Linked DNA regions of Diceros bicornis minor. The protein of the gene in region 3 binds, or shares a complex with, the protein of the main gene of each other region. Links are inferred from orthologs where the notes say so. Each region holds a gene or a part of one and is shown on either strand. Other genes may lie near its edges.

Evidence for each region.
Region 1: CASP8 (region 3) and ZBP1 share a complex: the UniProt entries of both Homo sapiens proteins name them as parts of the AIM2 PANoptosome complex. The link is inferred for Diceros bicornis minor from reciprocal best matches to the Homo sapiens genes CASP8 and ZBP1.
Region 2: CASP8 (region 3) and interferon-inducible protein AIM2-like share a complex: the UniProt entries of both Homo sapiens proteins name them as parts of the AIM2 PANoptosome complex. The link is inferred for Diceros bicornis minor from reciprocal best matches to the Homo sapiens genes CASP8 and AIM2.
Region 4: CASP8 (region 3) and RIPK3 share a complex: the UniProt entries of both Homo sapiens proteins name them as parts of the AIM2 PANoptosome complex. The link is inferred for Diceros bicornis minor from reciprocal best matches to the Homo sapiens genes CASP8 and RIPK3.

Annotation. Positions count from the first base shown.
Region 1 is NC_080758.1:5,918,585-5,926,448, reverse strand, and holds the start of ZBP1 (Z-DNA-binding protein 1), read right to left. Parts: upstream 3,011-7,864; 5' UTR 1,237-3,010; coding exon 600-1,236; intron 1-599.
Region 2 is NC_080743.1:63,954,299-63,961,968, forward strand, and holds the start of interferon-inducible protein AIM2-like, read right to left. Parts: upstream 3,021-7,670; 5' UTR 1,716-3,020; intron 1-1,715. UniProt on the Homo sapiens protein: Sensor component of the AIM2 inflammasome, which mediates inflammasome activation in response to the presence of double-stranded DNA (dsDNA) in the cytosol, leading to subsequent pyroptosis.
Region 3 is NC_080749.1:79,144,952-79,151,771, reverse strand, and holds the start of CASP8 (caspase-8), read right to left. Parts: upstream 3,008-6,820; 5' UTR 2,898-3,007; intron 713-2,897; exon of another isoform or gene 651-712; intron 1-650. UniProt on the Homo sapiens protein: Thiol protease that plays a key role in programmed cell death by acting as a molecular switch for apoptosis, necroptosis and pyroptosis, and is required to prevent tissue damage during embryonic development and adulthood.
Region 4 is NC_080744.1:23,680,821-23,687,911, reverse strand, and holds the start of RIPK3 (receptor-interacting serine/threonine-protein kinase 3), read right to left. Parts: upstream 3,018-7,091; 5' UTR 2,900-3,017; coding exon 2,838-2,899; intron 2,697-2,837; coding exon 2,556-2,696; intron 2,436-2,555; coding exon 2,126-2,435; intron 1,661-2,125; coding exon 1,515-1,660; intron 1,391-1,514; coding exon 1,344-1,390; intron 1,138-1,343; coding exon 970-1,137; intron 863-969; coding exon 795-862; intron 541-794; coding exon 238-540; coding exon of another isoform or gene 184-237; intron 122-183; coding exon 1-121. UniProt on the Homo sapiens protein: Serine/threonine-protein kinase that activates necroptosis and apoptosis, two parallel forms of cell death. Necroptosis, a programmed cell death process in response to death-inducing TNF-alpha family members, is triggered by RIPK3 following activation by ZBP1.

The DNA.
Region 1 (7,864 bases), on a different chromosome or scaffold from region 3:
GGGAAGGGACGAGGATCCACCAGACAAGGGTGGCCCCAGCGCACGGGCGTTCCAAACTCGGATTCTAGAGTGAACAGACTTGCCTTCAAATCCGGCCCTGCCACTTTCCTGCTGTGCAGGCTCCCTGCTAATTAACCTCTCTGGGAAGAGGGAAGAACGCCGTCTACCCACCTCCGGGGTTGGGTGCGGGCAGGGTGACCCCCGGGCTCCGCACCGGCCCCTGCGAGTACCTGACAATGGCAGCTCTTTGAAGAGCTGGAAAGGAGGATCTAGCGCCATGCTAAGTCTGTTCTGTTATTATTATCTCTATCGTCGTTGTTGTCATTACCATTTTCTGTTATTACTATTAATGTTTTACTCTGCACCTACTATGTGCTGGCACCAGGCTGAGCCCTTTGCATCTAATCCTCTCGCAACCCTATGATGCAGCCCTACTGTCATCTCCGCTGGCCAGAAAAAGAAGTCAAGGCATGGTGAGGGGACCTCACGCGCCCCCAAGGGGCAGAGCCCCTGCTTGAGCCCAGGTCCGAATCCGGGCTGTCCACTGCCAGGACTCATGCAGGGTCCGACCCCCCCATCCCGCCCCGGAGGCAGGTTACCCTGGCAGGGCTGGGCCCGCTCTGTGGGAACCACTTCTCCAGTCTGACCCTCGCCCAGGCGCCATGTCGCGGGGCCCTCGAGGTGGACTTTCGCCTCCTCCTTCATCCGGTAGAGGACTTGGTTGAGTCTCTTCTTGGGCACTTGGCAGTCCTTGGCCAGCTGGGCAGCCTTCACCGGGGAGCCAGCACCCCTCAGCACCTGCAGGATCTTCTGCTCCAGGTCTGGGCGACAAGAGGGGCAGAAAGAGAACCGAGTCCCCCCACAATCGATTCTGGGCTGGGGGGGCGAGGGAGACCCCCCGAGAGGGGTCCAGGGCAGAGACCCGAGCAGACATCCACCTCTGTTCAGTGAGGGGCACTTGGGCTGGTCAGAGGTGACCTTGGCTGGACAGCCTGGTGGCCAGAGGAGGTGCCTAGGCCTTCCGAGTGTGCTCCCCCTGTTGTGAGTGCTCGAGGGCAGGTGGGAACTCTCAGCTCTCAGGCTCAGCTCTGAGAGGTCCTCAGAGCAGAGGGGAGTGGAGGGCGGCAGGACGGGGGAGAGTGAGGCGGGAGAGTGGGGGGGGGCGGGGGAGGGAGAGGCAGGCCTGCTGGGCTCTGAGCCCCCCAGGGAAGCTGCCCCTCCTCTGGGGCTCATCATCCATGTCAGTGGTGTCGCTATTCATCCAGCCAGAGACCCAAGAGACATTCAGAAACGGCTCTTTCTCCCTGATGCCCAAACACGGAGTCCTGGAAATCCTGTTCCTGGCTCTCCTGAGTCCCTCGTCTCCTCTTCTCCACCTCCTCTTCCCTGTTCCTCGTCACCACCTCAGGTGACAGCAATTCCACCAACTCTAGTCGGGTTCCCTGCGGTCCACTCTCCACTCGGCAGCCAGAACTGGCTCTGCCGACCACCCCGCTTCGTCTTCACCCACCTTCAACTTCCCTCCAAGTGCCAACCCGTCTGCGCTCCTTCCAGCCCCACTCACCACTGGGCCTTTGCACATGCTGTTCCCTATGTCAGGAACACTCTTCCCCCCTCTCCACCTGTCCAGCGTCTACTTAACTTCCAGGTCTCGCTCAGATGCCATCTCCTTTGGGAAGCTGTCCCGGATGCCCTGAGTGGGTGGGGTGCTGTTTGTGTGTGGGTCCCCTGCAGAATGTCCCCCAGGATTCCCTGCTGTGACTGCCTGACTCACGGTAGTACCTATGATGTCTAGCACAGTGCAGGGCACACAGTAGGTTCTCAGGAAATGGCCCTTGAAGGAATGAGTGACCAGGCAAATGAGTGAGTGAGTGGATTTGCCCACTCCTGGGACGGATGTCTGCCCACATGACCTGGAGCAGGGTAAGGCGGCTCCTCTTGGGCCTCTGTTTCCCCATCTGAGGTTAACACCCCTCAGCAGGATCTCGTGAGGCTCAAGGAGGAACTCTCTGAATGGCCTCTGCTCTGCGGACAGGGTCCCACAAGCCTCAGCCAGCTGCTCCTCCGGGGGTGAGAGGACAGGGCCGCGGGGCTGGTGAGAGCCTGTGGGCAGCTGCCCAGTCTGCCGCCAGCAAATGTCTGCCCCCAAGAACCCCGAGGGGGATGCAAAGCAGGGCCCTTCTTGGCAAGACCTGGGTCCCCTTCCGGGGCAGCAGCTGGCCTTCGCCTTCTGGGTTTTTCCGGGGTCCTTGGTGGCAGCACTATTGGGGAAGGGCTAACCCACCTGACTCGACAGCTGGGCGCTGTGGCTCGCCCTGCGGTCAGGATGTTTCCATCCTTGCAATTAGAGGTGCCATTAGAACACCTGGCGGCACCCGCCCTGTCACCCCCCAAATTCTACCCCAGCGGCCAGGGGATCCCTGTCCAACTAACTACACACCTGGCTCTGCATTTCTTTTTCTGTGTGTGAGGGAGATTAGCCCTGAGCTAACATCTGTTACCAATCCTCCTCTTTTTGCTGAGGAAGACTGGCCCTGGGCTAACATCTGTGCCCATCTTCCTCCACTTTATATGGGACGCTGCCACAGCATGGCCCGACAAGCGGATCGCTGGTGCGCGCCCGGGATCCGAACCTGCGAACCCCAGGCTGCTGAAGCAGAGCGCGGGCACTTAACCACTATGCCACCGGGCCAGACCCTGGCTTTGCCTTTCTTGAAAAGAGTTTTGATTCTTGGAAAGCCTGCCCCCGGGTAGCCTCTTCCCCTCCCTCCTCCTCCACTGCCCTGACCACAAAGGGCAAGCAGGCTTGGGGAGCAGGTGTGGGTGAAGGCCAAACCGGAAGGGCGGGGCTGGCCTCCTGCACAGAGACCTCAGTGACCGGAAGCTGTGACATGGACCAGGTGTGAGCGACAGGTTGGTAAAGAAAGGGAGAAGCCAATGGGGAAGAAGGTAGATGAGGTTACCCAGTGCCCTGGACTCCTACCTGCACGGCACCCCTCCCCAGACCCCTCCCCGGACCCCTCCCAGGACCCCTCCCGGGACCCCTCCCCGGGACCCCTCCCTGGCACACCTCCCCGGACCCCTCCCCTGCACCCCTCCCAGGACCCCTCCCCGGCACCCCTCCTTGGCACCCCTTCCCGCAGCCCTCCCTGGACTCCTACCCTGCACCCATCCCAGGACCCCTCCCAGGACCCCTCCCCAGACCCCTCCCCTGCACCCTTCACAGGACCCCTCCCCGGACCCCTCCCCGGCACCCCTCCTTGGCACCCCTTCCCGGACTCCTACCCTGCACCCCTCCCAGGACCCCTCCCCAGACCCCTCCCCTGCACCCTTCGCAGGACCCCTCCCCGGACCCCTCCCCTGCACCCCTCCCAGGACCCCTCCTCGGACCCCTCCCCTGCACCCCTCCCAGGACCCCTCCCCGGACCCCTACCCTGCACCCCTCCCGGGACCCCTCCCTGGCACCCCTCCCCGGACCCCTCCCCTGCACCCCTCGCAGGACCCCTCCCCAGACCCCTCCCCTGCACCCCTCCCAGGACCCCTGCCCAGCACCCCTCCCCAGGACCCCTCCCAGGGCCCCTGCCTGGCACCCCTCCCCAGCACACCCTCTTTTTCTCCTTTTTGTTCTCTGATGGCTGGTTTCCAGGGTTTGAGCCTCAGCTCTGCCATCTCCTAGCTATGTGACCTCTCTGGGCCTCAGTTTCTCCATCTGTGACATGGGAATAATAGTATCAACTTTAAAGCTTGTGAGGACTAAATGAGCTAATGATAACAAACAGAAACCGCCCTCGCCCGCAGCCCACACTGTGGCGCCCTTAGCGTCAACCGTAGAGCACGGCCGCGCTCGGTGCGCGGCTGACTTTCACCGGTGATTCTTCCTGGAGGAAAGCGTCATCTGAAGACAGAATGCTACGAGGGGAAAACACGCACATGCGCATCTTGTCAAAGCGGCTTCCGCTGTTTCTCAAAATGAGTATGAGGACGGGTCGGCCGTAGGCCCTGAGTCATCCCACCCGCAGGGCCGGCGGTCTCGAGCTCATTCGGAAAATGGAAACACAATTGCGCTCACCGCTGAGCGTCACTGTGAAGCGCACACCAAGTGTGTTGCAGGGTGCCGAGGCAGAGGAGCCCTCCGAGGGGACGCTGTGCTCTCCTCCTCGTCACTGCTGTGCTTGAGGGGACCCTGCTACCTTCGCCGTGATCTGGGCCAAGAACCAGAGAGAGAAGTACAAGTCCCACGGGGGAGCTCCCACTTCCTTGGAGGGAAGAAAGTACCTGTTTCGGTGGGGTCAGCAGGGGCCTCGGCCATGCCGGCAGCAGCAGCTGGGAGCCCGGGAGCCTGGGGGGCAGCGGCCGGCTCCTGCATCGCGGCCTTGAGGGTGGGCCACGGTGATGCCGGCTGTCCTGGCGTGGCCGAGCCTCGTGCTCCGGCAGCTGTGAAGGAATGCCAGCTTCAACCTGGCGGTGTCAGCTGTGCACACCCCGGAAGCGGAGCCCAGGAGCCAGCCCTGACCAGCCTTCTAGAGAAAATGAAACTTCTGTGTATGGCTTTCGAGAGAAACAAAATCGAAAGCAGAACTGATGAGCAAGTCCGAGCAGGCCTCCGTCTAGATATTGGTAGGGAAGAGCTGGGCTGGGCAAGACGCAGCATCCCCCAGGGCCAGGAGGCTTCCCCGACCTTCCAGGCGCCCCCACTGCCCACCTGACCCCCACACACGGAAGAGACAGCTGGCGGTGCCCTGTGAGGGATCGCGTGCGTGTCCCAGTGCATCTTTCTTTAGTGAGTGTCTACTATGTGCTCTCCAATCTTTGTGTCCCCCTGACCCATCTACAGGGTGGGGGCTGGGTCCGGCCTCTCTTCTCGGGGTCCGGCCTCTCTTCTCGGAGGGGAAATCGAGGCTCGGGTGGGTGAGGTCATTTGTCCAAGGCCACAGAGATGCTTGGGTTCTAACCCAGCCCCACCATTTACTGGCTTTGTGACCTTGGGCAAGTATGTTAACCTCTCTGTGCCTCATCTGTAAAATGGGGCTAATAAAAGTAGCCACCTCAGGAAGACTAGGGGGTTAATCCAGTTAAGCAGTCTGATCACAGCCACCAGGGCCATCTACAGTCACGAGCACGGTTGGGACCTGTTTCTGGAAAAAGGACCCATCTCTTTCATAAATCCTCAAAGGGGCTGAGCAGTTCAGAGCCTCTGTTCTCTTCCAGGGAACAGAAGGGGAAACTGAGGCCCCAGAGCTGAAGGGCTTTGGATGAGGCAGCCGAGAGGGTCAGGAGCTCAGCCCCCAAAGACCCGGACTCAGGGTCCCCGCTGCAGAGGCCTGGGAGGGCGAGCGGATGTCCTCGCGCCCTGGGGGACCCTCGCCCCAGCGTTTCTGCACCCGGAGGGGCTTGGGAACAAGGGCAGCCCTGGAAAAGGGTCCCGGAGGAGGCTCGTCTGGAAGCTGTCTCCGCAGAGCAAGCAGGACAAACTCAACGACGAGTCCCCACCCAGACCCATTAACTCCGAACCTCTGGGGCGCGGCCGAGCGCCCCAGGTGATCTCACGCCGTCTGAGGCGGAGAGCTGGACAACTCGGTAAAAACAGGAAACCACAAGGATGCTTTTGTTCCCCTTTTACGTAAAACCAAAGAATCGGGTATCTCTATATGAACTGAAAATATTAATTTTAAATGCGGGTAATTGGGGGTGTGGAGGGAGATCGTGGGGGCGCCCTCGGGGGGGCTCCTGCTGAACCCAGCGGGTGGCTTGGAGCTGTGCCGAGAGTAGCCACCAGGTGGCGCCCGCTCACCAACCGGCCCGGGGCCTGGAGCCCCGTGGGGCCTCCGCACTGGCTCGCTGACCGTCCCTCGGACCTTCCAGCAGGAACCACCACGCCAGGAGGGCCGAGCGCCCGGGAGGTGCCGCCTGGACAAGGACTCGGCCTTGCCTTCTTCTTCAGGGCAGGTCTGATCCGAGCTTCAGCCCTGCTTCCCCAGCTGTGTGTCACCACCTCTCTGAGCCTCAGTTTCCTTAATTATGAAATGGAGATAGTAAATAAGAAAAACCATGTCTATCTGACACTAGGTAGGTGCTCACAAAATTTGCGTAAGTTAGAAAATGTGATGTGATGTGTCTCCACAATACTTTAGGTGCTAGGGGGAAAAAAAAGAGCAAGAAAGAGAAAGAAGGAACAATTTAATGCAAGTGGTTCCCCCTTCCAGAGCATTCTGTGATATGTCTGGAATTCACGGAAGCTGTGAACCTGCTGTGAGCATCTCACCACACTGAGCGGGATTCTCACTTATACAGATTTGGATTATCTTGTATTTCTCTTCTCAATTTAAGAGATTTTCAAGGTAATTTTGACTATAAGGATTGTCTTCAACCCAAATATCAGTGGCTTAAACAATACAGAGGTGTCTTTCTTTCTCCCATAACAGTCTGGTAGGTGGTCCAGGTCCATAGTGTCGAGACCCAGGCCCCTTCTATCTTGTTGCTCTGCTGTTTGTGGCCTCTGTTCTCAGGTTGCCCTTATGTTCTAGGATGGCTGCTCAAGCTCCAGCCATGATGTCTGCATTCCTTCCAGTAGGAAGGAGGAAAGAGAAGAAGGGCAGGTACCTTTCCTTTAAGAACACTTGCAAGTTGCACACACATTCCACTGACATCCCCTGAGTCTTAGGGCCTGGCCTATCTGCAAGGCAGTCTGGGAAAGATGGTCTTTATTCTGGCCCACCATGCAGCCAGCCAAAATTGGAGGTTCTATTACTTCAAAATACGGGACAACGGATATTGGAGGATTATCTAGCTGTCCCTGTGAGGCTGTGTTGTCCCCTGAAGGAAGGAGCAAGGATACCCCTCTGTGCCTTGAGGTGTGTCCATTCACGGGGGCCTGTCTATCGAACAGGCCCAAGGCTGAGCCCCACCGAGGCCGAGATCAAAGGCAGGTTCCATACTCTCAGGACCTCCTATCCAGTGTAGAAGGCAGACGAGGACAGGGGGGGAGGGATACTGGTGCCCCCTCACTCCCCCGGGATGGGCCTCCAGGCCACAGGAGTCCCAAGATGGCGCCTCCAACCCCCAGAGCCCGAATCTCTCTTTGCTTGGAAAGCACACTCCTTTTTCATGGCTTGTGTTTTTCTGGAAACTATTAGAACTCTCCGCCCAAACTCAATGATAATTACATGTTACTGATCTTGAGTCTTTAAATTTCTCTTTCTCTCTCCTTTAAAAGAGAGATATTTTTACTGCTCATTGTGTTGGCAAAGCCCAGTCTCCTTCTACCAGGCAGCGTGGATGTTATTTTCACATTTCCTCGGTGAATTCACCTCAGGGGGGAAGTGGAAATGTCTGAAGGCACCAAATGTGGGTAATGACCTGTTTTGTGTCAGGGGCAAAGGCCCGAGAACCAGAGGTGGCCAGAGAGAGCGGGGGATGGCACGAGGTCACAAGAGCTACCAGCGGAGGGCGAGGGACACGACCAGGCAAGGGCCAGCCCCGGCCCTGCTCGCTGCCCTTCACGGCAGAGCCATTGACGGGGCTCCGCCGGTCACCTGTGTCCCCTGGAGTCAGGCAGACCGGGGCTCTGCTCCCAGAGCGAGGGACTCCTCTCTCTGAGCCTCAGTTTCTCCCTTTGACAGAGGTAATCACAGCAGCACCTACCTCTGGGTTGTTGCAGGAGTTGAATGGGATCGTGCCCATGAAGGTGCTCACAGAACGCTGAGCGAGTCGTATCTTCATCATATGATCCCAGCCGTCCCCTCTGAGGTAGCAAAGCCACCCCGTTTATTCATCCCGTCATTCACCAAATAATTCCTTGTGCCTTCTTTTTCCCTGGCCCCCTCGCTGGGTCCTGGCTCCGCTTTGCGCTCTGGCTGCAAAAGAG
Region 2 (7,670 bases), on a different chromosome or scaffold from region 3:
TCAAATATAAATTTGAAAGCATAAGATAATGAACACTTGCATACCTATCACTTAGATTCAAGAAATGTTAACATTTTGCCTGAACTACAAATATTATAAGGCATGTGTTTATCTATACAAATTTATTGCTGAACCATTTGAAACTAGGTTAGATACTATGATATTTAGCCACTAAATACTTCAGCATACATCTCCTATAATAAGAAAAAAAATCCAAATAGCCTCAATACCTTTATCACACCTCAGAATATTATCAAAAATAGCCTGTTATTGGGGCTGGCCCTGTGGCCTAGTGGCTGGGTTCAGCACGCTCCACTTCAGCGGCACAGGTCTGGTTCCCAGACACGGACCTACACCACTCATCAGCAGCCATGCTATGGTGGCGACCCACATGCAAAATGGAGGAAGATTTGCACAGATGTTAGCTCAGGGCAAATCCTGCTCAAGCCAAAAAAAAAAGAGGAAGATTGGCAACAGATGTTAGCTCAGAGTGAATCTTCCTCAGCTTAAAAAAAAAAAAAAAAAAAAAAAAAACCGGTTATCCCATATCCAAGCCACAGTCAAATTTCCCAAAGCAAACAACAGATGTTTTTATTTTTTTTTTATTTCAGTTTATTTTTTTGCGAGGAAGATCAGCCCTAAGCTAACATCCATGCTAATCCTCCTTTTGCTGAGAAAGACTGGCTCTGAGCTAACATCTATTGCCAATCCTCCTCCTTTTTTTCCCCCAAAGCCCCAGCAGATAGTTCTATGTCATAGTTGCACATCCTTCTAGTTGCTGTATGTGCGACGCGGCCTCAGCGTGGCCAGAGAAGCAGTGCGTCAGTGCGCGCCAGGGATCCGAACCTGGGCCGCCAGTAGCGGAGCACGCGCACTTAACCACTAAGCCATGGGGCCAGCCCAACAGATGCTTTTATAGTTAAGTTAGTTCTTTCAAACTAGAATCTAATCATGGCTTATGCACTACCTTTGTTTTATATCTTTTGTTACTTTTAAACCAGAACAGCCACACACACACATACACACACACGCAATGCTTTGTTATCCCCATGACATCAGTATTTTGAAGAGTCTAAAATGATCACCTTATAAAATTACCACATTCCTGATGAGTTGTTTCTCCTAGTGGTATTTACCATGCTTCTATGTGTCCTGTATTCCCTATACACTGGAACTCTAGACTAGAAAAGTCTTGATTAAACACAGATGAAACATTTTAGGCAAGGGTATTTCAAAGGCAGTGCTGCTACTTCATATTGTATTACACCAGGAGGCACACATGTCAAGCTGTCCACTATCAGTGAGGCAGGGTTTGATGAGAACAGTTCTGTCTATTTTAAAGGTGCATTTAATCTTTTGCAAAGAGCAAGTAATCTGTCGGGTGATACTTAGGCCTCATCCAAATATTCTATTTCCTAACAAACAAACTTTCACCTAATGGTTTCAAAATTCATTGATAATTTTTGCGTGAATCAATTATTTCAGGATAAGCAAATAGTGATTTCTAGCAGTATCGCTCCTTCTATATTTATTAGCTGGCTATCTTCTGCAATATTCACAACAGTTAAAAGGCAAGATGGTAGTCATCTGGAATAGTCACCAATATTCTGGCTTTTTCTTCCTTCTGAGTACATGATGGAGTGTATTAGCTTTTGCTCCAGTTACAAACAATCTGAAATCTTAGCGGCTTATAACAACAAACATTTCTTGCTCACCGTTCTGTGATTTGTCTTGGCTCAGCAGTGGTTCCGCTGGGCTTTGCTCCAGGCTCTAGATCAGCGTCACACGTCTCTCAAACCAGGAGCCTGAACGAAGAACTAATGGATCCTGGGAGCCTGCCCTTCCATTGCTGTACGGTAGAGTGCAAAAGAGAAGGTGAAAACATGAGACTCCTTTTATAGCCTCTGCCTGGGAACAGGATGCTGTCACTTCCGCCCACATTGCATCAGCCAAAGCAAGTTACAAAATCAGGATGGCGGAAGACTCTGTTCCTGGGGCAGAGAACAAGAGAAAATTATTTCCTAAAACAACTACACAATCTGCCACAGCTGGATTGAACTTTCCATCCTCCTAAATTTGGACATGGCCATATAATTTGCTTGGGTCAGTGAAATATGAGCAGACACGTGGTGTATTTTCCAGCACCTCCTTTCCACTGCCACAGAGACCAGCGAAATTCTAAATTATTGAGTCACCATCACTTTGCATTCCTAAGTGAGGATAGCAAGTGAGTTAGAAGAACACCTGCTAACCCAAGACTGACAGGTAGTGAAAGTAAAAAAAAAACTCGCTCCGGCCGGCCACAGGGCTTAGCGGTTAAGTGCACGCGCTCTGCTACTGGTGGCCTGGGTTCAGATCCTTCCTTTTTGTGGCCGTTCCATCTTCAAGACTTGGTTTCCAGCATCGCCACTGGCATCAATATCCCGTGAGAAGACAAGAAAAAAGAGAGTGGAGAAAGTGTATTTGCTTGTTAACCACCTCGGCCTGTGCACACATCACATCCACTCACCTGCCCCATCCAGATACAAACCAGTCTGGAAAGATGGTTTCCTGGTGGGAAGCATGAATTTTTGGTGGAAAGTCATAATAGCTCCAGGAGGGTTTGTCAGAATCCTGTCGTGAGAATACTTGTTTAGGTAAAAAAGGCACTGGGAAGCAATTCAAGAAAAAAAGTCACAGGCTGCCATCTCTCAAAAACCCTAGCTCCAGGCAGAACAAATTGGCCTAGGTCACAATTGTGAAGCCATTTGCAGAAGACCTTTGCTCTCTTTCTTAATGTCTTGCTCCCCTCTGGAGTTCTATTGACAGGCATTTAGTGCTTTCATGGTGACTCCAAGCTCTTTGGACACCTCTAGTGGCAATTCTGCTCTGTTCTCCCAAGACATTACTAGGTGACCAGCTGATCAAGAGCTAAGATGGCCACAGCTGAATTGGGTCTTGTCTTTGATACATTTGCACTTTAATATTTCTGATTTTTATAACCTAGGGACTGTAGAAACATAGAATCTCATGGAATGATTTAATCATGTTACCACAGTCCAATTTAGGAGAAATTTGATAGGCAGCTCGTCCTTTAGAAATCCCTCAATCATAGCACACAAGCTTCCATGTACAAGTAAAGTCAACCCACTAATAAAATACTAATAAATAATAAGAAAATACCAAACTAATAATATCTCTGTCGTTACCATGGTTCTTAATACTTTACAAAGCCCTTTAATATCCATGTACAAATCAAATCAACAGTATTAAATAGGAAAAACATATTATCTCCACTTTACTAATGAGGAAACTGAGACTTAGATAAGCTAAGTGACTTTCCTGAAGTCACAAGGCTAGAAAGGAACAGACTAAAGACTAAAGCCAAGATAGTTTGACTCCTCGTTTAGTGCTCTTTCATAATTCTGGGAAAATGGGCCCTTTCCTGTGATGTCCAGTATTTCTAGGGCTTTTAGAAGTCTCTGTCTTCCAAATTATCTTCTAGTAAAAAAGTAGCCTGGTTTAACTGGTTTCCAACCCGGTCTTACATTTAAGATTTATTTCCTTATTTTCTCTTTGACACATGTATTAGCTCTCAGTTCATGTTCTGATTTTCCTTTTTCTCCATCTTGAATATTTTTGGATGGTCAATTATCTGAGGGAAGAAACGTTCATATTTTGATTAGAGTTACATCACTGATATCACTGCATTTATTTCTCAATCCATAGAAAGCTTTTGACAATTATTGCTTTGCTTCCCACTCACCCTTGCCAACTTGCACCCCAGGGCAGTGATTCATTCTTTCCCTCCTTTTTTTTTGAATCACGAAAGCTGATTGAACATGCAGTAAACCAAGAGCATGGCAACGTGACAGGAAAGCAAGTAAGGGCCTCTAACCTGACACATACAGTTAAAAGCAGACTGTAGTTAAAACCACAAGATGGGAGTTACTTCCTTCCCAAATGCCCACGCAAATCTGGTCTGTCACACAGCAGGGCTTGCGTGTATTTGCCAATAACAATACTTAGGAGAAAATATACCTCATTTACTCCATTTTCTCAGATTCTCTACTTTGTTCGAGATACTCTGTTCAATCCTCATCCCATCTCCCTGCCTCTTTCTCACATCCCTAATTCTCTTAAATAATTTTCTCGCAATCTCTGTCCTTCCTTTCCTTTCATTGTCTTTGCTCATTTTGTTTTCCAGAAATTCTTTCCTAATATTCATGCTTGATCCTGACATTCCTGCTTATTGCTTCCTCTCACAATTTAACATATCATGTCTCTAGAAGTTTTTTCTATGATAGTTTGTTGCTCTAAAATTGAGGATGAATTTATAGAACTGGAGTTGGCAAACTACAGGCCAAATTCCACCTGTGGTCCATCTTTGTAAGGATCCCAAACTAAGAAGGGTTTTTACATTTTTAAAGGATTGTAAATCGAAATAAAGGTTCCACAGAGACAGAAGGGCCCAGAAAGCCTAAAATATTTACTGTCTGTCCGTTTACAGAAAAAGTTTGCCAGCATCTGTTCCAGACTATAAAAAACTTCAGGTCTCTTGCCTATTGCCATCCTCAGTCATCTTTGTTATTCTTTGAGATTTTCTCCCCAGTTTAAAGCAGAGAATACAGGATTACAGGACAACCAGCTGCAAAAAGGCACTAGAACTGAAGGCCCTTATCTTTTTCTTTATGTGGCATGACCATTACGAGAAGAGTTTAGGATTTCTTTTTATTTCAATTTATTGTTTTGGGGGTAGAGTATTTTTGGTCATAGAGAACAACTCAGATCATCGCCTTCACATTCCCAATGAATCAGGGGATCCACTGGAGAACCAATATGCCCTTCTCTCCAGCCCAGGAAAGAAAGAGAGAAATAGGTGAGGTGGCACTGGCATGCGAGGAAGCAGGAAGGTTATGCAGGAGAAAGGTCTGAATAATTTATCCTCCCTGTGAATCCCAGGTGGTGGCAACTGAATCTCCTGAAGCCACACCAAGACAGAGACAGATTTTAATATTTGAATGACACATTTGAATGAGGCCTTCTCACTCTGCTTCTGACGCCCCCTACTGGCAGAGGGAGGTGTGACTGGAGAAGTAAAGAGCCTGGGAGGCCACAATAGCACTGTCCCCAGAGACCAGGATAATGGCATGCTGGTGTGCTGCCATGCCTGGCTGCTTCTCTGAGACAAATATCAGAGCCAGGGTGTGTGTGAGTTTGTAACAGCACATCCTGGGAAAGCCTCCACTAAAAATCCTGACCGTCATGAGGGGAAATATGCTCTCTGCCAGCAAAATAGGATGAAAGCAGAATAACAGATTACCAACAATAACACCAAAGCAAGCTTTACAGCCAAGACCTTCTTAAGTGTAGGCACCTACTAGCTGTAGAACAGGCTAAATTCGCATGTTTAGCCAAAGGCTGTGAGAGTAGATTTAGGAGACAAATATAAAAACAACAACAACAATAATAATGTCAAGGGAGAAAGACCTTTTGCTGGCCCGGAATGTCATTATTCCTAGAATGTAAGAAGTCCATACAGTGATTTTCATTTTTTAATAAACGTTTATTAAGCCTATGTGAACTGTTACTTTACAATCTAAAGCTCAGACAGGAGAAGACACTTGTTCAGGGCCACATGGTTATCAAGGACAAGACAAAGAACAGAAGCACAAGGAGAGATACCGGAGATAAAAGTAAACATCTGTGACTCTGATTCTCAAATCTGCCTCCTGGCAGCTGTCTAGTTTGGGGCAAGTTATTCAACTCTCTGAGCCTCAATTTTCTCAACTCTAAAGTTGGAACAATATCTACTTCTCAGGGATCTTCTGAGGATTAGAGGTTATTTTTCTAATGTGATTGGTTCATGGCTGACCCTCTAGAGGAAAGGAGGACACAGAGAAGGGAAGGTGTGTAGGTACCAGGCACTCTCATTACAGGAAGCACAGGAGCACGGAGGCCTGAGCATCAGGACACCAGATTTTCAGGCAGTTATATCCACATTTCCACGTCCCTTGAGGATAAAAGATTAGAAAACATAGTTCTTACAATCAGTCCTCCAGTGACTATGGGAATTCCTAGCTACAAAAAGCATTTCAACTCTGGGGCCAGGAATTCTGAGCAAAACATTTGCAAGTCAACCCTCTCCCCTCTATTGCTCGATGGGCATTCTAGACCCTCAAAACTGTGTGCGTGAGGCAATGTCCCCTTCCTTTTCTGCCTCTAACTTTGAATCTCTTCTTTTCTGACATTCTCAGCCTCCTGGAAGCCTTCTCAACACATTCACGTGGTAAGAGATATTCTTGTCTGAGAATGGGGGCCAAGGAAAGAAGAAATGAACCAAAGAGGAAATACACAACCAAAATTGCACTGGCCTGGAAGTCACCACCCATTTCCTGCACTGTGGCTATCTCTATAAAGGTGACCAGGTAATATCTCTGCCTCCAAGTTTGCAAAGTCTCTGGTATTATCAGGAATGAAAACATAACCTAAAATTGGTAGAATCACTTTAGAAAGAATATGGTATACCCTGGTGAAGTTGAATAGGCATATAATCTATGATTTAGCAATCTTACTCCCACGTACATAATCTGAAAATTGTTGCACTGTGATATACAAGAATATTCTAGCAACGTTGTTTATAACAGAAAAAAAAACCACTAGAAACAACCCACATGTCAATCAAGGGCAGGATGTATTAATAAACTGTGGCATATTCACACCATGGAGCACTATGCATCAATGAACATAAATGAACTGCTGTACATCTAAGAACATGGATAAATCTCAAAAAATATGATGAGGAAACAAAAGAAACACAAGAGAATATGTTTCTATTTATATAAAGTTTAAAAACAGGCAAAATTAGGTAACATTATTTAGAGATAGCTATATGTGAGATAAAACTATAAAGAAAGCCAAAGGGATGATTGGTTACCTCTGGGGGCTCGGAGGGGGTTGCAATTGAGGAAGTTCACCCAAGAGTTTTCAAAGGAACTGGCAACATTCTCGTTTTAACCTGGCTGGTTGGAACTTGAGTGCTTATTTTATGATTACAATTATGCTGTTTAAACTGTTCATATATATTACACACACCCTTGGGTATGAATAATTTATTTCACAATAAAAACATTAATGTAACCCAAATATGCACAGGGCCCTTTGGGTAGCCTCTGCATCACTCTACACTATCTTGAGCCCAGTCAGAGCACCAGTGTCAGCCTTGACAAGGAACATAAATTTTATTAAAAGTTTTGCCGAAGATGGAAACGAGTGTTATATATTGTGCAGCACACGGCAAAACTAAAACTTTCCTTTTAATCATCTCCATTCTTTCTTTTTTCCTACATTGCTTTACAAATGCTCTTTCCCATATATCTGTCTCCTCCGAAATCTTTAAGAAGCTGCTCTATAAACTACAACTATCAATTCTTCCCACCTCACGCCGTCAACCAACCTGGTCAGCTCTTGTCCCCAACGCATGATTTGAAGGCATTTATTCATACAGAATTTTGAATCTCATCAAAAAACTACTGACTACCATAACAAACTACTTTCAGAAAACAACAACAACAAAAAAAAGAGATGAATAGGAATCCATCTGTGCCAAAAAGGAATAAAAATCCAAGGAGTACTGACAAATAAGAGACGTGTTGCCTATCTCAGTAATGAGCAAAATTAGCTTCACTGTC
Region 3 (6,820 bases):
CCAGAACCTGGCAGCCGTCCACCCTGCACACAAACACGGTCAAACACAGGGCCCTGCAGCCAGAGCTTTCACAGCCTAGTAAAGGTGTTCAAATCTCAACAAAACTTACAGCTGACCTGTAATTTTCCAACTGGATGATATTCATAACTTCACCTCTACATACTTGTACCTCACAAGCACAGGTCTCTGATTTTGTCAGTCTGTGCTTGCCATTCTACTATTTTCTGTACTGTTCTGTACCTTTTTAATTTCTTTTAAAAAATGAATAATTGAATTATTAGGACTGTGTGCATGTGTGTGTGTCTGTCAGTGGGTATGTGTTGGCAGATGGGTAAGCATAGCAACAAAATCAGTTGAAATTTAAATTTCGGTTTCTATTCTTTGACAAATTTGGCCAGCATAAGGATGAGGGTTCTATACGGATAGCTATACTTGGAGCATTCCAGAAAAGCCTCCAGGAATTCATCAACCTGAGCTGGAGGGGCCCTGAGAGCTGGAAACTGTGGGGTGCTCGCCGTGGCTCTCAGAGAAAGTGCTAACACTCATGGTTTCCCCACCCACACTCAAACGCAAGGATCACCCAGATTCCACCCTCAGCAGCCTAGAAAACTCTAGAATCCAAGGCCTTCCTCCCCGAAGGCCCAACTGACCTTATGAAAGCAAATCCTGGGATCCTCGAAGCGGCAGCAGCTTCTTCGCAGGCCTCTTTCTGCTGGCGCATCCAAGACAAGAGTAAAAAACAAATGAAGAACCAAAAGCACAGCTCGCTCTACTTCCTGTTTTAAAAACTCCTGAGTCAATAGGCCGAGTGAGGTAGGCTGGCCTCAGAGCAGCGCCTCCTTCCAGAGCTGCCAGAGAGAGACCAGGTGCAACAGGCCACAGCACGCTGGGTTGGGAGCCCGGCCACCTGAGCCCTGGCCTGGCCGTGTGACTGTGGACGGGTCATTTCACCTCTGGGGCCTCATCACCACAATCCAAATAGGAAAGTTGGACTGGATGTTAACTAAGAACCCCCTCTTTTCATATGTCAGGAATTTACAGATTTTCTGGGTTCATTACTAAGACTTCAATGTTTTCATTCAATAAATATCGATTAAGCACTTCTGAGAGATCTTGAGATCTGGGAACTGTGGGGCCCTCACCACGGCTCTCAGAGGGTATGCTAACTCCTACAGCTAACTCCCGCGGTTTCCCCAGCTACGCTCAAATACAAGGATCACCTCTATGGCCCTGAGGCCACCAGATCCCACCCTTAACAGCCTAGAAAATTCTAGAATCAAAGGCCTTCCTCCCATAAGGCCCAGCAGACCTTACCAAAGAGGGGCCCTGGAGATATAACCACGAACACACATTAGCCCTGCCTTTTTGCTGTGAGTTGGTTGAAATGTTTTCTGATATTAAAAGCAGAAAAAAAAGAAAATCAAACACCTCTGTTTTTTGAAACTGCCTTTTTTCTTTTCCCAGATGGAATATAAGCTTTCAGAGGGCCGAGACCCATGTTATAGTTGAGAGGATGAAATGAGGTGTCTGCAAGTGCCTCTTCACCTTAGCGGGCAAGGTAAGGGTGCCATGGTAACATTGACGCCCCTCACTACCACTTGAGTCTGCTCGTAAAGCCTGTGTGAGAACACAGCAAAAGAATGAAAGCCTGCAGGGGCTAAATCCTAGCCCAGGAGCTGTTCCCTGACTCTTTCTTGATGCCTCCTGAGCATCCACCCCAGCATTTGTTCCACTCTTTTGTGACTAGTTCCTGTCCTGGGCTGTGAGCTTCACAGGGCAGAGACCGCATCTTTCATGTCCATGTTCCCAGGACCTGCCATGGGAATAGCAAGATCCAGAACGTACAAAGGTTTCCTGCAAATCAACAAGAAAAGAAACCCAGTAGAAGGACAATGGATACAACGTGGACTTCCCTGATAGGGATGCTCAAATAGCCAAAGTGTACCAAGGGATGCTCAAACTCATCAGTAACTGGGGAAACACGAAATAAAGCCAGGAAATACCCACTTTATACCTATCAGATTGACAAAGATTTGCAAGTTGGATCAGACCAAGGACTGGTGGCCAAGTTCTTACATAGTCCTCATATAGGACTGGGGAGACTGTCCATCGTGTAATACCTTGTAGTGGTTAGGAAGTGGGACCTGGCAAAATACATAGAATTTAGAGGGCAGAGTGCTTACTTTTTACAAATAATACTCATATGCAATAATAATTGCTAACACTTACTGGGTACTTCGTAGTGCCAGTCACTCTTGTAAGTGGTTAACACGTATTATCTCCTCCAATCCTCACAACCACCTCAGGAGGTAGCATTAATTCCATTTAATGATGAGGAAACAGACATCAAGAAATACTTACTTGCTCCAGGTCACAGAGTTTAGATATAGTGTACACACACAAAACAACGATACATTTTGCAAAGACAGATCAATTCAGGGATACTTATAAAAGACGCAGAGAGTGGTCATTGGGGAGCCAGTGAGTGGTGTCGGAAGTGTGGTGGGGGTAGGGCGATCAAAGAAATTGCTTAGAACGGGGTGGGGGGGGGAGTGTTGCAGGCTGGGAGACCAAGGATGACAGGCCATGGGGTCTGACAGAATGATTAACTCAACCCTCTGTCCCAGGGCCCAACGGAAAAGAAAACAAACATAAACGGGTTAATGAAGTCTTGTGGGATCCAGCAGGAGAGAGACACTGTCTGTACTGAGGCAGCTGGGGAGACTGTGAACAGAAGTGCAGCAGAGGAGCTGGAGATTCCTCAGAGTTAGCAAGGCCGGTGGCTGTGGTTCAGAGAGAAACGCCATTCGGACGTCTGCGCCCTGGCAGGCCCGGAGGTGTCTCCACTCGGTCGGGAAACGCAGTCCCCAGAAGCCGTGTCTGCACGAGGCACTCACCTGCTCCACTCTGTCCCGGCAACATCACAGTCACCAGGTCCCCATGCCAGACCCCTGACCGGCCTAGTTTCACACACAAATTCTTAAGGCTTGTCCACACAGCCACAGAAAAAGCCCGTGAAACAGGGAGGGAGGAGGGGAGCGGGGACGGAAACGCCTCCAGGAAGAAGATTTCCTTTACTTTCGATCCCTCCTCCGGGCTCTTCTCCTCCCCCAGCGGACTCATTTCCTGTTTCTCTGTTCTCCACATTCAGAATTTACTAGCAAATCCAGCGGGGCTTTAAAAAAATCACAAGAGACAAAGGGGAACCTGCGAAAACATTGCCCTCCAGCAGAAGGGCAAAATCTGGTCTCGGCAAGAGAGAGAGAAAATTCCTCAACAAAAAGAACTAGAGAATAAAGCTGATTCCTAAAACTGGAGATCAGTGACTCATTCAACAAGAAATGTTTCTTATTATGGTGCTGAGTTCCAACCATTCAGAGGAGGAGATGACAGACAGTTCGTCAACGTGCAAACTGAAAACCAGGAAGCTGGACATGCTTTATTGGAAAGCATTTGTCCTGACTACATTTACTATTAATAACCCCTGTAATTTTTAAAGACAGGCTTGAGACTGCCCATGGCAAGTATAATGCCATTTTCCCGTGACAGGCTGGGGAGAGGAATTGTCCCTCTGTGCCGTGGCCCAAATCTCTGCCCGGATACCATGGACCAGCCGTGAGATCCTATGTCTGAGCTCTCCTTGGGTAAGAGCAGGCTTCTGGCTGAAATGTGGGGAGACTGTGCACAAAAAGGGTGGAGTGGGTCTGGCCCAGTCCTGAGTAGGAGTAGCAACAGTGTTCGCATCCCTAGCCAAGCTCCCAAGAGCAGTAGTAAGCAGTGCCTGTCCAGGGCCGAGGCTGGGGTGGTGTAATGTGGAGATCTGCCCCCCAGACCTGCCCAGGGGCCCTCACCAGTTTTTCTTCATCCTTCGTCCCCTCCCCACTCTCTGCTTCTGTTTCCAGTTTCAATTATTTCAAGGGTTTTCTGCCCTTTTGTTTTCACATCTTGTACATTTTTTTAAATTATTTTATTGAGGTCATATTGGCTCATAACATCGTGTAAATTTCAGGTGTACATTATTATAGTTCAGTTTCTGTATAGACTGCATTGTGTCCACCACCAATAGTCTAGTTTTTATCCCTCACCCTGCATACGTGCCCCTTTACTCCTTTTACCCTCCCACCACTCCCTTCCCCTCAGCCACGTGCAAAAGAATGAAAGTAGACCATTATCTTACACCACACACAAAAATTAACTCAAAATGGATTAAAGCCTTGAATGTAAGACCTGAGACCATAAAACTCCTAGAAGAAAATATAGGCAGTACCTTCTTTGCCATCGGTCTTAGCAGCATCTTTTTGAATACCGTGTCTACTCAGGCAAGGGAAACAAAAGAAAAACTAAGCAAATGGGACTACATTGTCTTGTACATTTTGTAACCAAAACACTGACAATAATACAGTACTGTCTTGACATGAGTACAGCCATGTTTGGCCGCTCCATTGACCTACAGCCACCAGCACAAAAAGAAATATAAAAGCTGCTTTCTGTGTGGTGGGAACTGGCCTTTTCCCGGGAACTGGCCTTTCTCCCACAGAGAGAGTTGCAAGTTGTAACATTTCAAGGCTCTTGGAGCGTCGTAGCACGGGATGGACTGGCCATCTGTGCCGGGCTGAGACGATAACCAAAGAGAACAATGCACGTACACAACTACTGGGCCGGGATGTTAGCCAGGAGGCTCAGTGCACGTACGCCACTGATAACCATTTTGTACATGGGAACACTAAATGCTTGCTCTGCAAACTCTGTAATTGCTTACTCTGAAAATTACTGATGGTATAAAAACTGCTGGAAACTGAGCCCCGGTGAGAGTTCCACCTGTGGAAGGGACACCTTGCCCAGGACGTGTGATCCTTGCCCAGCTGCGTTGATTGACAGGGCTCTCCCAGCAGTGCGTGGATGTTGTAAGTAATTGATTTGATATGAAGTAATTGATTTGATGTGTAGTAAGTGATTTGATGTGTTCTCTTTTCGGTCAACCTGGTGTTTCTCTTTCTGGTTGATTTGTGTCATTTCTCTTCAGCCAATGTGGGTGTTTTCCCTTTCCACTCGGGCTGATGTTTTTTCCCTCTTAATATTTGACCTATTTGGATCTGTTTGCAGACTATCGCCTTTACTATCCTCTATATAATAAAATATACCTTCAGTCCATTTGTTTGGAGTGGAAAGTGTCTTTTACGTCTCCGATCGAATCCCCGAACCTCTCGTAACAAGTACCTATATGTTGTACCCTTTACGTGGGTTATCTCTAACTCTCACAGCAATGCAGGGGGTTGTTCTCCCATGTGATGGATGAGAAAACTGAGGCTTAAACACATAGACTCAAACTCAGTCCTCTTGGACCAAACACATGGATTTTTCCACTGTAGCACACTAGCCCCCCTTCCTCAACACTTAGGATGTGAAGTGAACCGCGTAGATGGAAAAGCAATAAATTTAAACTAAGAGGGAGTGACCTATGCACAAAGTTCAGACAGTCTTTGGGTTCTCAGTCACCTAAGAAAAAGGAGCTGGTCTAAGGGCACTAGCTAACATTTATCAAACATTTTGTGTGCCAGACACAGCCGCCTAAACTGGCTCACTTCACCTTCCGAACAATTCTCAGAAGTGGATGCTATTTTTGCTCCCATTTTGTGGGTGAGGAAACCGAGGCTTGGAGAGGTTGAAAGACTTGGCTGAGTGCGTTCAGGTAGTGAGTGACAGAGTGAGGTCTGTTTGTCTCTAAGACACTGACCAGTTAGTCACTGTCTAAGTATTCATACACAACCATGGTTCTCGATTTGACTGATCTGAGAATTAACTGAGGAGGCTTAAAAAAAACACCAGTCTTCAGGTCCCAGCTTTGGAATTCCCACCCAAGCAGAATTAGAGGAGATGAAACAGATGGAGCACTTAGCGTAGTGCCTGGGCCTTCGACAGTTCTCAACAGATACTCACTACCACTGTTACTTTGGCTCACGACGTCTGTAAGACTGCTTGGATTATGAGACATATTGTACAGATAAGGAACTAAGTTCGTGTCAATCAGCTGACAAGTGGCCAGGCCAGTGCAGGAACCCAGGAAGGTCTCACTCGAGGGTTTGTGCTCATCTGCTGTCCACACCCAGGCCCAGCCTGGCAGAAATGGATGAACCCCTGGAGGTGCTGAGGTTGGGTTGCGGGTCTCAGGACTTCCACTTGTGTCATCTGTAAGGGATTGATCCTTGGCTCTCCTGGTCTTAGCTCTTTTTAAAAAGGAAGATGAATAATTAACAAGTGAATTGGAACCTTAAGTTGGTTAAGTTCCTATTATGATCCGCAAGGATCATTATTAATTCACTTGCTCTTACCAGTGTCTTGGTGCCATCTTGAGATATGTCTTTATATCAAAATGAATAACATAGGTGGTCTGTAGGTCCCGGGGAAGCTGGGAGACCTGGAGGTGCTGCAGCAGCAGCAGGGCCTGGGGGAGTGCCCACCCAGCGCAGGATGAGGACAGCCTGGTGGGACTTAACTGCCCAGTGGTTTCCACCCTCCTGGATCTCCACTCCCACCTGGAGGCCTGCTCCAAAGAATCTCGTCTCCATTTGGAGCTGTCTATCTCCCTAAGGAAGCCAAGAAGGATTGAACCTCCTCTCACCTGGCTGCAGCACACCCGTCCTATTATCTTGGATTTGAACCACAGGACCTTAGTCAAGGATAAATACCGACAGTGAAACAAAAGTCCCCTGACAGTGCATGCTCTTTCTTTCATTGCTTCCTTATTAATTTGTGTATAACTGACCCACAGTCCAGGTGGTCTGGTGTGTGGATTCGATTAGGTCCCTCCTGACCCCTCTTT
Region 4 (7,091 bases), on a different chromosome or scaffold from region 3:
GCGCCCTGGGAGGCCAGTGGGTACCATGTCTCTCAGCCCCCTGTGAACAACACAGTGCTCTCGGGCTCCCTGTCCTGAGGTCTCTTCCCCCATCGCACACCACCTCAGCCCCAAGTTTCCCCTGGCAAGGGGACAGGATTCACAGGAGTCCTAGTGTATCCGCTAGTCCTGCCAATGTCTCACCTGATTCCCTTGGGGTCCAGGACCTGGGGTCCAAGCTGAGGAGGGGCTGAGTACCTGGTTTCTGAAAGGTGAGTTCTCTGGAGTTTGGGGAGGTTGAGCTGTTGAGTCAGATGTCCCTGCTGTCCGGTCATGCTGAACCTGCTTTCCTTGTGCCCTGATCCTCTCAGGAGTGTTTGTACACTTTTCAGGAACAGAGTTGGGGAACCCCTCCACATTCAGGTTGTTCAACATCTCAGCCACAGTATTGCAGCTTCCTGTGGTTTGCCCAGGGCCATCCATTTCTGTCTTTCTTGGGCCTGGCTCAGGGGTAAACATCGTCCTGTTGCTGCTCCTGTGCTCAAACATGAACTTCTTCACCTGCAAGGACAGGGGGCTTGTTGGGTGTGGAGGTGGGGGAGCTGAGTAGCCAAGGGAGGAGTCTCTTGGTCCACAGTCTGTTGCCTGGGAACTCAGGGGTGGGGTGGGGAAACTGAAGAGGAGGGTCAAGGCATAAAGAACAGTGGTCAGTGGGGAGTCATTGGGTGGCCAGGGGAGTCATTGGGTGGCCAAGGGAGCCATGTTGCCATCTCTGACCAGCTTCTAGGGGGCGGGGGGTTGTGTTGGGTACTCACCATGGAGACAGCATCTTCTATCTTGTCCTCCACCCGAAGGAAAGCTTTCTTCATTTTTGGACGGCAGTCTGGAGAGAAAGCAGAGTGGGTGGTAGGGGAGCAAAACTTCTTTTCCAGGAAAAAGCCCCCTGTAGACAGATCCAGGCCTACCCCAGCTGCCAGATGGCCAGCTCACCTTGGAAGGAGGGCCTGTCTTTGGGCTCATGGCTCCAGCAGTGCTGCATTAACTCCTTCAGTCCCTCCAAGCCAGGAGTCTCAGGGCCGGGCTTGGGCAGCTCAGTTAAGGGGGGCCGGACCTTCCTTTCACACACTGCTGCCTTCACCAGCGATATCTGGGACACTACTGGGATTGGGATGGACGATGTGCAGAGAAGATATTAAGGATACGAGGGGCCACCTGTTCCATCATGGAAAGGGGCAAGGAGTGTAGTCCAAGGGGAGGTGAGGGAGGAGGACAATCTGAGCAGGTAAGCAGGAAGAGGAGGGGTTGGGGGCTCGTGAGAGGAGGTACCCGGGGTTAAGGATCCCAGAGTCTGTCCAAAGTCTTACTCTCATGGTCTCTTCCAGCTAGTACTGCCCACATTAGGATCCCGAAGCTGCACAAGACACAAAGCTGAGGCTTGGCCCTACTACTGGCAAGACTCCTCTCCCGTTACCTTCCCCTAGAAGGGCCCAGAGAGGTGTAGAAATTGGGGACATGTGTTTGCAGTGAGTACTTACCTGTAGACATCACAGGCCATGGAGGCCTTCTGGTTTATATCAGCCAACAGTTCTGGGGCCAAGTAGGCTAGGGTGCCCCCTGCCTTCCCTGATCCTGCCCCTGACTGTGAGCCTCCCTGAAACGTGGACAGGCCAAAATCTGCCAGCTGCAAAAGGAGGGAAGAAGAAGGAGGTAGGGGATGGACAGTGCCAACCAGCTTCCAGAATTCCCTCCCTGCCAGGAGATGCAGATCCAGCCTTGTAAAGGGAGTATGGAAGGCTAGGGAACGGTCAGACCAGTGGGGCCCTTGGGTTGGAAGTCTGGGTCCCCTCTCCATAGGGCTGGGTCAAGGTCTGAGTCTGCTGGGCTAAGTTAGTCATGGGTCTCTGGAGGGCCTGGTGAGGTGGGCCTGTGGAACTGACTGTGTCGGTCAGGGCCTCTATCACCTGGTATGGCAGAGATAAAGCTCCTGAGTGACACTTGGGCAGCCCTGTGTCCAGAGGGAGATGCTGAGGCTATTCAGTAGCCAGAGCTGCAGCAGGTCCTGTGTCCCATTAAGCGGGGGAAGGGCTGGAGCATCTCAGGAGCAAGACTTTGTCCAAAGGCTGGGCTAGGGTGTGGATGGGCTGACCTGGACATGCAGCTCTGAGTCCAGCAGGACATTGGAAGGCTTGAGGTCTCGGTGCAGAAGGACGGGGTTCTGGCTGTGCAGGTAACACATCCCGAGCACCAACTCCTGCAGCAGGCGGCAGAGGAGCGGCCAGGGCCGAGGGCACTGGGGCTGCAGCAGCCCTGCCAGGGACCCATTCTCCATGAATCGAGTCACCAGAGCTGGCCCGGACACGTAGTCCCACTCCAGCTTCTCGGTGACCCCCAGCAGGAGCAGGACGTACTGGTTACGCAGATTTGCCATGGCCTTCACCTCCCTGGATATCGCCTCCCTACACCCCAGGACAGAGATGGAGTTGGCTCTGCTCCTGGGAAGACCCCTCCCTTTCCCATTCAGGCCCCACCTCCTTGGCCAGACACCAACTGGCTCCAAAGAAGCTTGGGTCACTCACGAGTTCACGATCTTGACTGCCACATCATGACCCCACGACCTGTGTTGCACCCGGAACACGGTGCCAAACCCGCCTTTGCCAACCAACTTCGGGTTCTCCAATTCCTCGATGGGCACCAGGGAGGCTGGGGCTCCGCTAGGCCTGAGAGAGAGAGCCTCGTCCACCAGCTGGCCATGGCCCCAAGTCCACGCTGCCCCCTGCACACCCCCACCCCCGCCTGGCCCCGTGATTCCGGGGACTTGGCACTGTCAGTTGTCTCCTGGCCTCCCACTCTCCACTCACCACAACTTGACGCAAGACATCAGGCTGGAAGGGTGAGGGGCTTCTGGAAGTTTCGAGCCCATGAGGATGGAGTGACTTCTGGGAACGGGATTTGTGGCAGAGAGGGGGAGGGGATCGGGAGAGGGGTCAATCTCTAGGCCACTGCACGGTTCCGCTTCCCGGGTCGATGTGCCTGCACCGAGTGAGTTAATAACTTCCTTCTCCGACAGGCGCCTCTATGGTCCCGCCCCAGTAGTGGGAGGGGGTAGTGTAAAACGGAAGCTAGTGCTTCTTTCTTTTAACCAGTGTTTCCTTGAGCACTTGCTGTGTGCCTCGGCCAGGTTAGGCGTCACTGGGCATTTGGGGTACCACGGAAGGAGTCCTCACCTTCCAGGAACGCACAATCACCTCACTCCTATAGTCAGCGTTTCTCCCTTCTCCCACAGGATTCCCAGCTCCAGCACCCACCAGGCCTGGGCGGGGGGGAGGGGATGGTGCTGAGGAGGATTTTGTGGTCCTAGGGCTCAGCTCTCCTATAGCTGCCCTAAGATCATAGCCAACACTTCTATAAAGGCTGCCATGTGCCAGGTACATATATTAGCTTATTTACTTCTCACATCAACCCTAGGGGGATTGGTACTGTTTTTATTCTTCATGGATGAGGAAATGGAGGCACTGATAGTTTAAGTATCCTGCCTAAGCCAGTATGAATTGACTTCAGAGTCTGGCTCTGAACCACCGAGTTTTCCTATTCTCACACAGGCTTCAGGGCTGTACCACTCAGCTGGTCATGAGGGGGCTGAGGACGGTGTGACGCATCCAACAGTGTAGTGAAGGGTCCCTGTGTGTATTCCTGCCCAGTCCCTGACAGCTGCTCTTGCTGGCAAGCCCCTGGCATTGGTAGTGACTTGCCTGCTGGCAAGACCAAGACCTACTCCCAGGGCATTGTGGTCAGATGAACTAGCTCAGCTAGAGGGCTGCTGACATTGTGGTGTACACTGCAGTCGAAACACCTCAGCGCCTCCCTGCCCTCTCCCAGCATGCCAACTCCTCCATGCAAATGCCCTGGTTAATACACGTTCCCGACAGGCATATGCTCTGGACAAGGGCCTTTAAGAACTCAGGAGGGCCGGCCCCATGGCTCAGCGGTTAAGTGCGCGCGCTGCGCTGCTGGCGGCCCGGGTTCGGATCCCGGGCGCGCACTGACGCACCGCTTCTCCGGCCATACTGAGGCCGCGTCCCACATACAACAACTAGAAGGCTCTGCAACTATGACATACAACTATCTACTGGGGCTTTGGGGGAAAAAAATAAAAAAATAAATAATAAAAAAATTAAAAAAAAAATTAAAAAAAAAAAAAGAACTCAGGAGCTTGGGGAGCCTTAAGGATTTAGGGTAGACAAAAAGTGTCCATATTTTACGTGCCCAAAGCCTGACCATGGCTGGAGGTTGTGGGAACTAGATACGGCCACCCCTAGACGCTCAGTGTTTCACGAGGAGACCCAACCATACAGGTCGTGTGCCAGCTTCACTGGAAGGTGCTCGCCTTGGTATGCACTTTTCATTCTGTCCAGTGGTCCACGGGCTCTGCTGGTTGGAGCAAAAGTGGCCAGCAGTTAACTGTGGTTTCTAGAGCACCTGAGAACTCCAGGATCCACAACGTGAATTCTGGTGGAATCAGTCCAAGCTGTAATTCTTAGACTGTAGTCTCCTTAAAAGCCAGTATGTGGGTGATACCAATAAATATTTGTTGAATTGAATTAATAAAGGAACGAGCAAAACTTTCGGAGCTTCCTTAAGACGCTGATCACCCCAGCTGGAGCTCCGTGCTCATTGGGAGGAAAGAGGAGGTTGGGCTTCTTTATGGTTTGGGGGTTCTCACTGCATCTGCACAGTTGACAGAATCTGTCTGAAGTAGACTTGACTCTAGAGATATGGCGTATCTCACAGAATACAATGGCAGTCCTCAAAAAGTCTAGTCAGGAGCTAAGAGCCATCAGAGGGGGCAGCCATTCCTTTCATGATTCTCTTTGGGAGAAGACCCTAGTCTCCACTTGAGGGGAACAGGCAGACAGGAGAGAGAAGGGTGTTTAAAGGCCTTTTTATGGCTGGATTTCTTTAGATTGGGACAGGGGTCAGCTACTATAAGCATAGGGTTGCGGCTAGTGTCAGAGCCTGTACTATTTTTTGACTCAAAATAGACCAAGCGCCTTTAGAAGAAGGAAGGGCAGGGAGAGGAGCCTGGAATGAGTGCCTGACAAGATCCTCTGCTTCTGCAGGAGGGGACTGGTAAGGCAGAGTTGATTCCTGGATTTTGGAGCTCTGGCCTTCCCTGTGACCCCAGGTGTCACAGGCTTTTGGAGTCTATTTGGGTGTCTCTCATCCCTTCAGTTCTCTGCTCCCAACTGTCTTTGGTTACTTTCAGCCCATCCCTAGGACCTGCTCTGGTTCCTTCTCCCTAGCTGTCGGGGTGGGGGGACAGAGGGTGTGTCTCTCTTCTTGCGTATTCTAGCCCTAACTAATTCTCATCTCTTGTTTGATTAAGAGATTCTAATTATAGACCAAATGGTATTAATTGAGGTGACAGTAAAAAGGATTATGGAGGATTTTCATGTTCCAGAGTGTTTGATTATTTTATATTAGCATGCATTACTTTTATAAACAGTTAAGGGAGAAGATTGTGATATGTGCAAAGATTTAGTTATAAGGATATTCACTGAAGTGTTGTTGAAAATAGTGAAAAAATAATGGGGCCGGCCCTGTGGCATAGAGGTTAAGTGTGCGCGCTCCGCTGCTGGTGGCCCGGGTTCTGATCCCGGGCGCCCACCGACGCACCGCTTGTCAGGCCATGCTGTGGCGGCGTCCCATATAAAGTGAGGGAATATGGGCACGGATGTTGGCCCAGGGCCAGTCTTTCTCAACAAAAAGAGAAGGATTGGCGTGGATGTTAGCTCAGGGCTGATCTTCCTCACAAAAAAATATTAATAAATAAAATAGTGAAAAAATAAAACCCTAGCTATTCAATCATAGGAAAAAGACTGAAAAAATTATGCAATGGAAGATTATGTAGCCATTAAAATGATGACTTAGACCTATATTTATTAATATGACAGGTGTTTATCATATATCAAGTGGGAAAAAAAACAGATTATAAAACAGTATGTCCCATATAATCATATTTTTTGTTTGTTTTAAAAATTCTCTTCCAGGAGTGTGACAGAGAGCTCAAAAGCCTCCCATAGCAGAATACCTAAATGCTATATAAATCACAATAAACATGTATTTTTAAATTTGTTAGTGAGCTCCCAATAAAATAAAGGTAATCTCCTAAGGGCATCCCCCTGAAACCAACAAAATAGAAAAATGTTAAAAAAGAAGGTAAATAGAGAGGTCAACTAATTAGAAACCTAGAGCTTTGGGGACTGGGTAGAGGGTATGGGAGATTAAGGGAGAACCAAAGAGTAGGCCCTAGGGCCTAGGAAGATGGAGGAGCTAAATATAAGACACGCCTATTCCCTGACAAGCTGGGGCCCTCAAAGGGGCCTCATTTTTTGTGGAAAGGAAAAAGTCCACCTGCTTGTGGAGGGAACCTGCAAGGGAACCTGTCTAGGCTGCAGCGCTAGATGTTAAAATTAATGAAAATGTTAGTTTCCCTGTGAGATCTGCTCTCACACGGATCTGTAGTTGGAATTTTTACTTTCCTTTTGATCAAATAAACCATAAGTTGAAAGATTTAAATGGCCCCAGATTATTAATGCCCCCTGGAGTCCAGCAGAAGCAAACTGAATCCTCCTTAGAAGAAAGCATCCTTAATCCAAGTTTCTGGATCAAATTCAGGCAAATATAAACTCACAAAAAAATTTACTGGGGCCGGCTCGTGGTGTAGCGGTTAAGCGCACGCGCTCCACTGCTGGCGGCCCGGGTTCGGATCCCAGGCGCACACCGATGCACTGCTTGTCAGACTATGCTGTGGTGGCATCCCACATAAAGTGGAGGAAGATAGGCACGGATGTTAGCTCAGGGCCAGTCTTCCTCAGCAAAAAGAGGAGGATTGGCACAGATGTTAGGTCAGAGCTGATCTTACTCACACACACAAAAAAATTTACTAAATATATAAAGATTCAAATCACCATGAGGGAGAATCTGCAGGAACTATAATCAACAGGTTTAGATCTTTAAGGGCTTCAGAGTTTGGAATAATCAGATGAAGACTCAAAAGAAGCTATTGTCAAATGTTTAAAGAAATAAAAGATGGAATAGAAAAATGAGCAAGG